Oryzias latipes: one gene and its partner. The protein of the gene in region 1 binds, or shares a complex with, the protein of each later gene. Links are inferred from orthologs where the notes say so. Each region holds a gene or a part of one and is shown in the gene's direction. Other genes may lie near its edges.

The links.
Region 2: smc4 (region 1) and ncaph share a complex: the UniProt entries of both Homo sapiens proteins name them as parts of the condensin complex. The link is inferred for Oryzias latipes from reciprocal best matches to the Homo sapiens genes SMC4 and NCAPH.

The regions. Positions count from the first base shown.
Region 1 is NC_019871.2:13,504,157-13,508,148, forward strand, and holds the end of smc4 (structural maintenance of chromosomes protein 4), read left to right. Parts: intron 1-227; coding exon 228-372; intron 373-568; coding exon 569-742; intron 743-1,285; coding exon 1,286-1,468; intron 1,469-2,355; coding exon 2,356-2,588; intron 2,589-2,677; coding exon 2,678-2,861; intron 2,862-2,962; coding exon 2,963-3,127; 3' UTR 3,128-3,236; downstream 3,237-3,992. UniProt on the Homo sapiens protein: Central component of the condensin complex, a complex required for conversion of interphase chromatin into mitotic-like condense chromosomes.
Region 2 is NC_019867.2:25,810,781-25,815,006, reverse strand, and holds the end of ncaph (condensin complex subunit 2), read left to right. Parts: intron 1-626; coding exon 627-773; intron 774-1,474; coding exon 1,475-1,579; intron 1,580-1,717; coding exon 1,718-1,794; intron 1,795-2,046; coding exon 2,047-2,122; intron 2,123-3,183; coding exon 3,184-3,243; 3' UTR 3,244-3,503; downstream 3,504-4,226. UniProt on the Homo sapiens protein: Regulatory subunit of the condensin complex, a complex required for conversion of interphase chromatin into mitotic-like condense chromosomes.

The DNA.
Region 1 (3,992 bases):
ATTGTTAAAGAGTCTCTTTGTGTTTCAATTTCTAGTGTGGTACTTTTCTTTTGTCTAACTCGATAAAATGAGTGAAAGTGAAGTGTGGAATACGCTGGTTGTGTGTTAATGCACGCTGAAGCTGAAGCCTACTCTTCACTTTGAAGTTCTTCCTAAAGCGTGCTGAGCCTGAACACATCCCCTGGTTTCCGCTTCCTGAAGTGTTTCTCGTTGTGTTTTCTTCATAGCAACCTGAAAAAGTGTGAGGAGAGTGTGGCTCATTTGCAGAGCGAGCTGGAGGAGAATGAGAAGTTGATGACGGACCTCACTGAGCAACTGAAGAAAGTGGAAGATGAGGCTGGGGAGATCATGAAAGCGTGCCAGGAGGCTGAGGTCAGTGCAGATCATTCCCTTTATCCAGGATTTTTTTATGCTTCTGTCTTCTTGAAGACATTCCCATGTTTTTTATTGAGATATTTGGGATTTCTTGTTAGTTGGGACTAAATCTTTACCTGATGTGGGGGGCAATACAAATGTTTATTCAGTGTTTCTCTTTATTCACACATTATCTAACTGTATCTTTACATAGGCTGCACTACCTGAGGTACAGGAGCAGTATCAGAAGGTGTCAAAGGAAATAAAGATCCTGCAGCAGCAGGAGCACGCACTGCAGGAGGAGTCCCTCAATGTGAGGCTCTCTATCGAGCAGATTGACGCCACCATAACCAAACACAACGGCAAGATCAAGCACTGGCAGGACGAGGTGAGTGACGGGACGCACTTAGAAAGGTACTCATTTGGAATCTAAAGATATAAGCAGCAAGTCCCAAATATTTAGCTTTTTTTGTCTTATGGAAGCACACAGCAATCCGTGTTTATGCACTTTCACTTTTCAGGATAATGACCTTAGTTAGTTTTGATTGTTTTGGCCTGTGAGGCTGTGAGAAAGTCAGACTTTTTTAGAGATTTGGTTTTGCTCCAGAAAAGCTGCCAGCATCACATCTATGGGCTTTCACTGACTTTGAACTGCTTCAAATGAAGCAGCACGCTGGGGTCGGCCATTTCTGCATCCACAGCCTCCAGGAGAGGTTGCTTCAGTGAAACGGCTTTCATTAGTTCTGATTCCAAAGCTGAAAGCTTCATTCTGACGAGTCATTGTCCAAGCGGCCAGCTTTCAGTGATCACAGTGAGCCTCAGTCAGACCTTAAGAGTTCACCCACAGTCACAAACACCTGCTGCTTTGTCTTTACGTGGACCGTTTCCTTCTTGACATGTTCCTAAAACGGGAAATTTGATTTTCCAACAGGCTTCCAAGTTGTCCCTACATGTCATTGAAGGCCAGCCAAATGAGAAACTCCCCGTCCTCGCTGCTGCTGAGCTTAAAGCCATCTCAGATCCCAACGCCATCGTGAACAAGATGAGCACGTTGGAGATCCAGTGCAGTCATCTGAAGCCCAACCTGGGAGCCATCTCAGAGTACAAGAAGAAGGTAAACACAAATGACAGGAAATGTGACAAATACAGGAACGCAGTCATGATTTGTTCTTTTGAAGGTCAAAGGTCACTTCAGCTCAGGCCTATACAGATATTAAATGGTGATGGTTATCAACTGACTGAGGAGGACCCAACTATGTTTCCCTTCAGAAACAGTACCAAGTCCAAAATAAAGATCCGTGTTGTGACGTCTCCTTATTTGTACCATTACTCTAAATGTTTTAAGACTGTAACTCCCTCACTACTGACTTTATACATTTATCTCTTTAAACTTTCAAAGTTATTCAAATGAAGTCCATCATGGTAGAAAAAAACACAGATCTGCTCACGATTAAATATTTGTGGATTTGATAAGATGCACACACTATTCCACAGAGACACGGCACATAGATTGATTGACAGGATCTACAGCCAATCAGGACACAGAAAACAGTGCAGTTTAAAAAAAAAACATGCACAATTGCACTGAAGTCTGCAAGACTGTAAAAGGTGAACCACTATATATTAACTTTAAAGAGAAAAACAAATGATACAGCTGCGAGACATGAATCTTTTTAAGCTTCCTATCATCCATTATAGTAATCATAACTTTCTTCTCCAACAAAATATTGTCGCAAATTAATATTGGGAGATAAAACAATTGGAAACATGGTAGAGGCCATGATTTGTGGAATAGTTGGTTCAAATTGAACAAAGTAGGAAACCGCGTGTCCTTTTTGTTTTGAGTTTGGAAGCGTTAAACGGCGCGCTGTCCCTTCATTTGTTTAGACGCAGGTGTTCAGTGGATTTCTGAAACCAGAATTTCCGGTTCCCCCCGTCTGTAAGCTAAAGTGAAATGCTGGAGGGATGTAAGGATGAGCAGCGTTGGTGTGGTGTTTGCAGGAGGAGCTGTACCTGCAGCGTGTGGCCCAGCTGGACGAGATCACAGCGGAGAGGGACACCTTCAAATGCAGCTACGAGGACCTGCGGAAACGGCGACTCAACGAGTTCATGACCGGCTTCAACATGATCACCAACAAGTTAAAGGAGAACTACCAAATGCTGACACTTGGTGGCGATGCAGAGCTGGAGCTCGTGGACAGCTTAGATCCCTTCTCTGAAGGCATCATGTTCAGGTATGGACTGAAGTTCTCCACTGATCGCCTCTGTAGATGCTTGTTCTGCACATGAGGAAACCTTTGGTGTTCCTGCTTTTCCCCTCCAGTGTTCGTCCTCCAAAGAAAAGCTGGAAAAAGATCTTCAACCTTTCAGGAGGAGAAAAGACCCTCAGCTCTTTGGCTCTCGTGTTCGCTCTTCATCACTATAAGCCGACGCCTCTCTACTTTATGGACGAGATCGATGCTGCTCTGGACTTCAAGAACGTCTCCATCGTGGCTTGTTACATTTATGTAAGTATGGACCTAAAACAAGTCATTTCAAATCTTTTGTATGTTTTAGAGTTAGGATTTTATTAGGTCATGTGACCTGAAGTCCTTTTTCTGTCCTCTAGGAACAAACCAAGAACGCTCAGTTCATCATTATCTCCTTGAGGAACAACATGTTTGAGATTGCCGATCGCCTCATTGGCATCTACAAAACCCACAACACCACCAAGAGCGTGGGCATCAACCCCAAAACCATCGCTTTTAGAGAGCACGACGCCGTCAGTGCTTGAAGCTCAAAGCCAATGAAAATGTTTTATACTGTTCTTTTATTGAAATGCTGCTATTCTTCCTCTGTACTAATAAAGCTTTTGATGACGTGTTTATACCTTTGAGACAATAGCATCTGCTGACTTCATATTGTCGACTGAATAGAAGGATCTGCATGACAATATTTAAGTAAACAAACCAATGATCTGCACCTTTCAAGAGAAACGGATTATCTGATGTTCTAAATGTTTTGTCAGAATTGTGAAATTCATATTTATTTAAAATACAGATACAATTAAAGCTTTTCCTTTACTATAACTAGCCATTTAGTTTGTAATGAATAAAGATTAAAAAAGACTTTTAGAATGGTGTAAAAAAATTTAAATTTTGACTAATCAGAATGCAAGACACGCAAATGTTTCCTGGACAGTCTCGATCAGTCGATCACAGAATGATCAAACTCCACAGGACAAGCAGAGTTAGGAGGCTGATCTACGAGAGGTGCATCCATAACCCTTGTGCTATCCTAGGCACTTTAACATTGGGAGTTGGGTCATCTAGACCCACTAGACAGTGCTCTGAACCTTTTTTCAATGATTTGTGATCTTCACTGGTTTCCATGGATTACATGAAATCTTTCCACCTTTGTCATGGTAGAGAGAACACGTCAATGTAAGGGTGAGGTCATCTAAGACAGCACCAGGGGTTAAACTGCTTTCTGAGAAGAGAAAAATGTCGACAAACTACAATGAAAGAATTATTTAGGGGGAAAACCATTAGAGAATGTAGGGGGTACCATGAGGAATGAATGGACTGCTGCTTCTAGATTCTTCTGTACTTTACATTCTTAACTGGGGGCTTTGACCGATTTTAGTCATCAAATGTCAA
Region 2 (4,226 bases), on another chromosome or scaffold:
TTTTTTAAAAATAAACTTTAGCTTCATTATCTGGACAAAAACGAGTGGTAAGAGGTGAACTTTCTCTCTGAACTGATGCTTTATTTAATCCATAGTGATGATCAGAATATATAGCACTTTCTTCTGCCACACCGCATAAAAAAAGCGATCTAAACCGAACAAATGAAAAGAAAAACATACTAAAAGCGGATTGAATATGACCATGGTTTATGCCATGCGTTAATTTCTGATAATGCTTACTTTGTCGGCCATGATCCTTTACTTATGTAACATAGGTCTATACAAAAGTCAAAGTTTGTTCGTTAATGTGTGTAAATGGGCAGTCCAGGCCATCAGCTTCATGACTGACATCAGCTAGCACTAATCTGCTGTGTCATGCTAAAACACCAACATGCTGCAGTTTAAAGCAACTTCATCACCTCAAACTGCTGGGGTTACGAAACTGCTGCCACATCACCAAGAGTGGGAGAGCTGACCAGACATGACTTTGTTCCGTTCAGTTACTGCGTGCCAACCTTACTCACTAAAGCCATTTATGGGGAACATTTTTGATAAAACAGTAAAGCAAACAAAGCTTTTATCTTTGCGTTTCCTTCTGTCATCTCCTGGTCTGTCCTCTGCTTCAGGGGGGTGACAGTGATGACGACGATGTTGAGGGGTTTACTGGTTCCGATGACATCCAGCCGTCAGGTGGTAGTGAAGCTCCACCCTCACAAGACCTGGAGGGTGTGTCCACCTACGGGGAGGATGAACTGGTACCTGAGCCTCACAGAGTGAGTCATGCAGGGTTTTTTTTTCTTTTTCAAGAACACATAATGGATTTAGTTTGTTTTGTTTGTTTGACACGTATTCATTTACCTGGCAGTAAACCTGAAGCCTGTGAATCTCGATCATGAAAGGGCCTGCATCATGTAAAATCAACCTTTTGAGCTTTTAAGTGTATTATCATGTTAATTCCTCACTATAAACAACCCCAAAGCGGTATTCGGATCCATTCACGCATTTCTGAGCACCAGCCCCTCCCAACCCGTGAAAATAAGCGGGTTCATTGTGGCGTAGATAAGTGAGGAACAGCCCCTTCCAGGAAAAGTCTACCCTGCCAGCGCCACCCCCAGGCTAACACGCACACCCACTTTCTCCACAAACCGAGCGGTGATCATCAAAAGCGCTTTCCTTTTATAAGCACATGTATCTTTGCAATAGTTCAAATGTTGTTTGTTTTTATTGGCGAGATGCAGCCGAGGCCGACTCTAGGTTGATGTCATGAAGTGAGCGGCACCCAAGCGAAAAAGAACTGATGAAAATAACAAATATTTAATACAAAATTTGTTCTGTAGTGTGCCAAAATGTAATTTATTATTACATATATGGATATAGTTCACTCAGAAATGCTTAAAAAGCATGATTGAGGCCTTTTCCAAAAAGGCTGAACTTTGTATGGAATTGATTTTTACTCTACTGCTTGTGTTTGCAGGTCAACAAAATTGAAATCAATTATGCCAAGACAGCAAAGAAAATGGATATGAAGAAGCTTAAGAACAGCATGTGGACTCTTTTAACAGATAGTCCAGAAGAAAAGGTACAGGTGCTTTTACTTTGTTTCTTTCTTTTTTGTCTGTATTGTATCATGTTGATGAATGTTTAGGTGTCTGGCGTTGGTGCTTGAGGACGGTCTAGAGAGGGCAGCTGTGTTCATCTGGTTTTTGTCTTTCTGCAGGTGAAGGAGACTGTTGAGACTCAGGATGTGTGTGGGGAGAAAGCCTTCAGTCAGACCACAAAGATGCTGCTTCAAAGGTACCAACACAACTCTGGCACTTATAGCAACAATCATCAAAAGCTTTAGAAAGCCTCACATTCTACTAACATTGCTGGTTTGGAATCCATGCGTGGGTTTTACCAAAAAGTTTTGGCTCCTCCAACACTTTTTTTTTTCGTATTCTTGTGAGACATTATCTTCCTTTATAGACTGATGCTGACAGAACCTTGAAGAGTTTGATTTGAAATGTGCTCCTCCTCCTTCTCCCCCCTCCTTCTTGTACCCCTTAGGTTGCCGAACGTTATGGCTCAGAACCTGTCGGTGCCGCTGGCCTTTGTGGCTCTGCTTCATCTGGCAAATGAAAAGGTGCAACTATTTATTAGAAAATAAAAGAAAACATTGCAACCCTCTTGGCATTACAATAACTCCTAATCATAAATAGACAAACTTGCATTTTTATGTACAGTACAATCAATTCAATATAATGATTGTCAGATAGAGTTTGATGAATAGCTTGAAATGAAGTGGGAAGAAGCAAATTTACATAATCCCACCAAAAATAAACAAATATTAAGCATATGATGGAGCTAAAAGAAGTGTTTCACACTTTTCTGTGTTGTTTTTTTACTTAAAAGGGGAACATAATTTCTAGTTGCTTAGCATGTGATCTAGTTTTTTCCGTCTTTTGACAGTGTGTGAAAGTTTGAAATGGCTAATTGACACGCACATCTGTAACGTATATCTATTACATATACTGATGTCATCATGTAATCAGTTCCTAGATTAATGGGAAAAAAAGTGTTTATCATTTACCAATGAACAGCAGGACTGACGACCCGACTCTATTTTTGGTTGTCAAAAAAACCAAAATAATATTGGTTCATGAGTTAATTCATTTAAAATCAAATGGAAGTAAATGAGTTGTACTGTATTTGAGGTTCTGAAAATATCTTATCAGTTTGGTTTCTTTTTATTTAACCTTTATTTTACCAGGAAGTCCCTTGAGATAAAACATTTTTAGAGAGAGACGTGACCCAGAGGCATTGATACACACACAAACATAAAACCATGAAAATAAAAGAACATTTGAAACAGCTCAAGATAAACATGTGCACTCTTCGGTCACTCACTCAGTGTTATCAGTTTGTGGGATCACTTTGCTTATAAAGATAGTGACAGACGTGTCATTACTCCTACTCGACTTTAAAATGTTTCAACTTAAGAGCCTTTTAAATGAATCCTGTTTGTCTTTAAAATGACTTTAATTTAACATTATATTTGACATTAATTTATTATCAAGAGCAACTTTCAGCTTTAGGAATTCTACTTTTATAAAAGGTTATAACAACATAACCCAAGTTATTTTCTGTAGACAAACGTCTGAAGCTTTAACACCTTTTAACAGTTTTGAATTGTCTGTTTTACAGAATTTGGAGCTGGTCAAAGTTGATGACATGTCAGACATTATCATCAGACAAGGCCGCTAAGGAGAAAACCAGGAGATTTTTTTAAATTCTGTCCTCTTCTTTCTTTGAATTTATGCTTTTTCTATTTAAAATGTCAGGTTTTATTCACTTTGTGCTTAAGTTTTAAATCTGCCCTTTTTTCCCTCATAATGACAAGACGACCTTTTTTTTAACTCTGTACTATTTCATGATTATCTGTTGTGTAGATAAAAGAACTTTTCAACCACTGCTCAAAAGATATATATTGTCAAAAGAAATAAAATGTTTTTTTTTCCCATAAATGTGGTTGAGTTTGTGACTTAAATTTGGGCAGAACGTGTGAAATCCTGGCACATTAAACCTGTTTATAGTGTGAGTTTGCAACTTTGCTGTCGCCTTCCCGTAGAGGTTAAGCCGGTTTGTCTGGGTCTGTGCTTCCATCTGGGTGAGACGACATGACGTCCTTTCATTAAGGAGATACAGAACAAGAAAGAGCAGAGGACTAATCACATTCCAGTCCTTGGCGTAGAAGTTTTTAATCTTGCACACAGGAACTTTGATATAAACAGTGTTTTTACTTTAGGTTTCCTAATTTAATCCTAATATAATGGTAGAAATGTGCTTTTGTCCGATTATCACTAAATTGTGTAATGTGTCTCAAAATGTTTATAGTAATGCAATTAATATATAACACATAAGTAATTAGTTTTGTTTGTTTTGTTAAATATACTGTTTAAAAGTGGTTTTCCCATCATACCTCTCTTCAGACTTTCTGTTTAAAAACACAAAAGATTACTTCAAAGGATTCAAGGAGTATTTATTGCCAGTGAGCAGGGCATTTTCACAGAATTGGAATTTGCTGCGGTGCTAATGTGCGACATAAAACACTTGAATAACAAAAATAAATACCAGAGCAAAAAAAAAAAAAAAGATCTGAAAGGGGTGAGTTAAGAGTTAACATTCATGACTCCTATCTCAGATCCAACATGTGATGGAAACACCCTCAGATGGGAATTGAGTAGGAA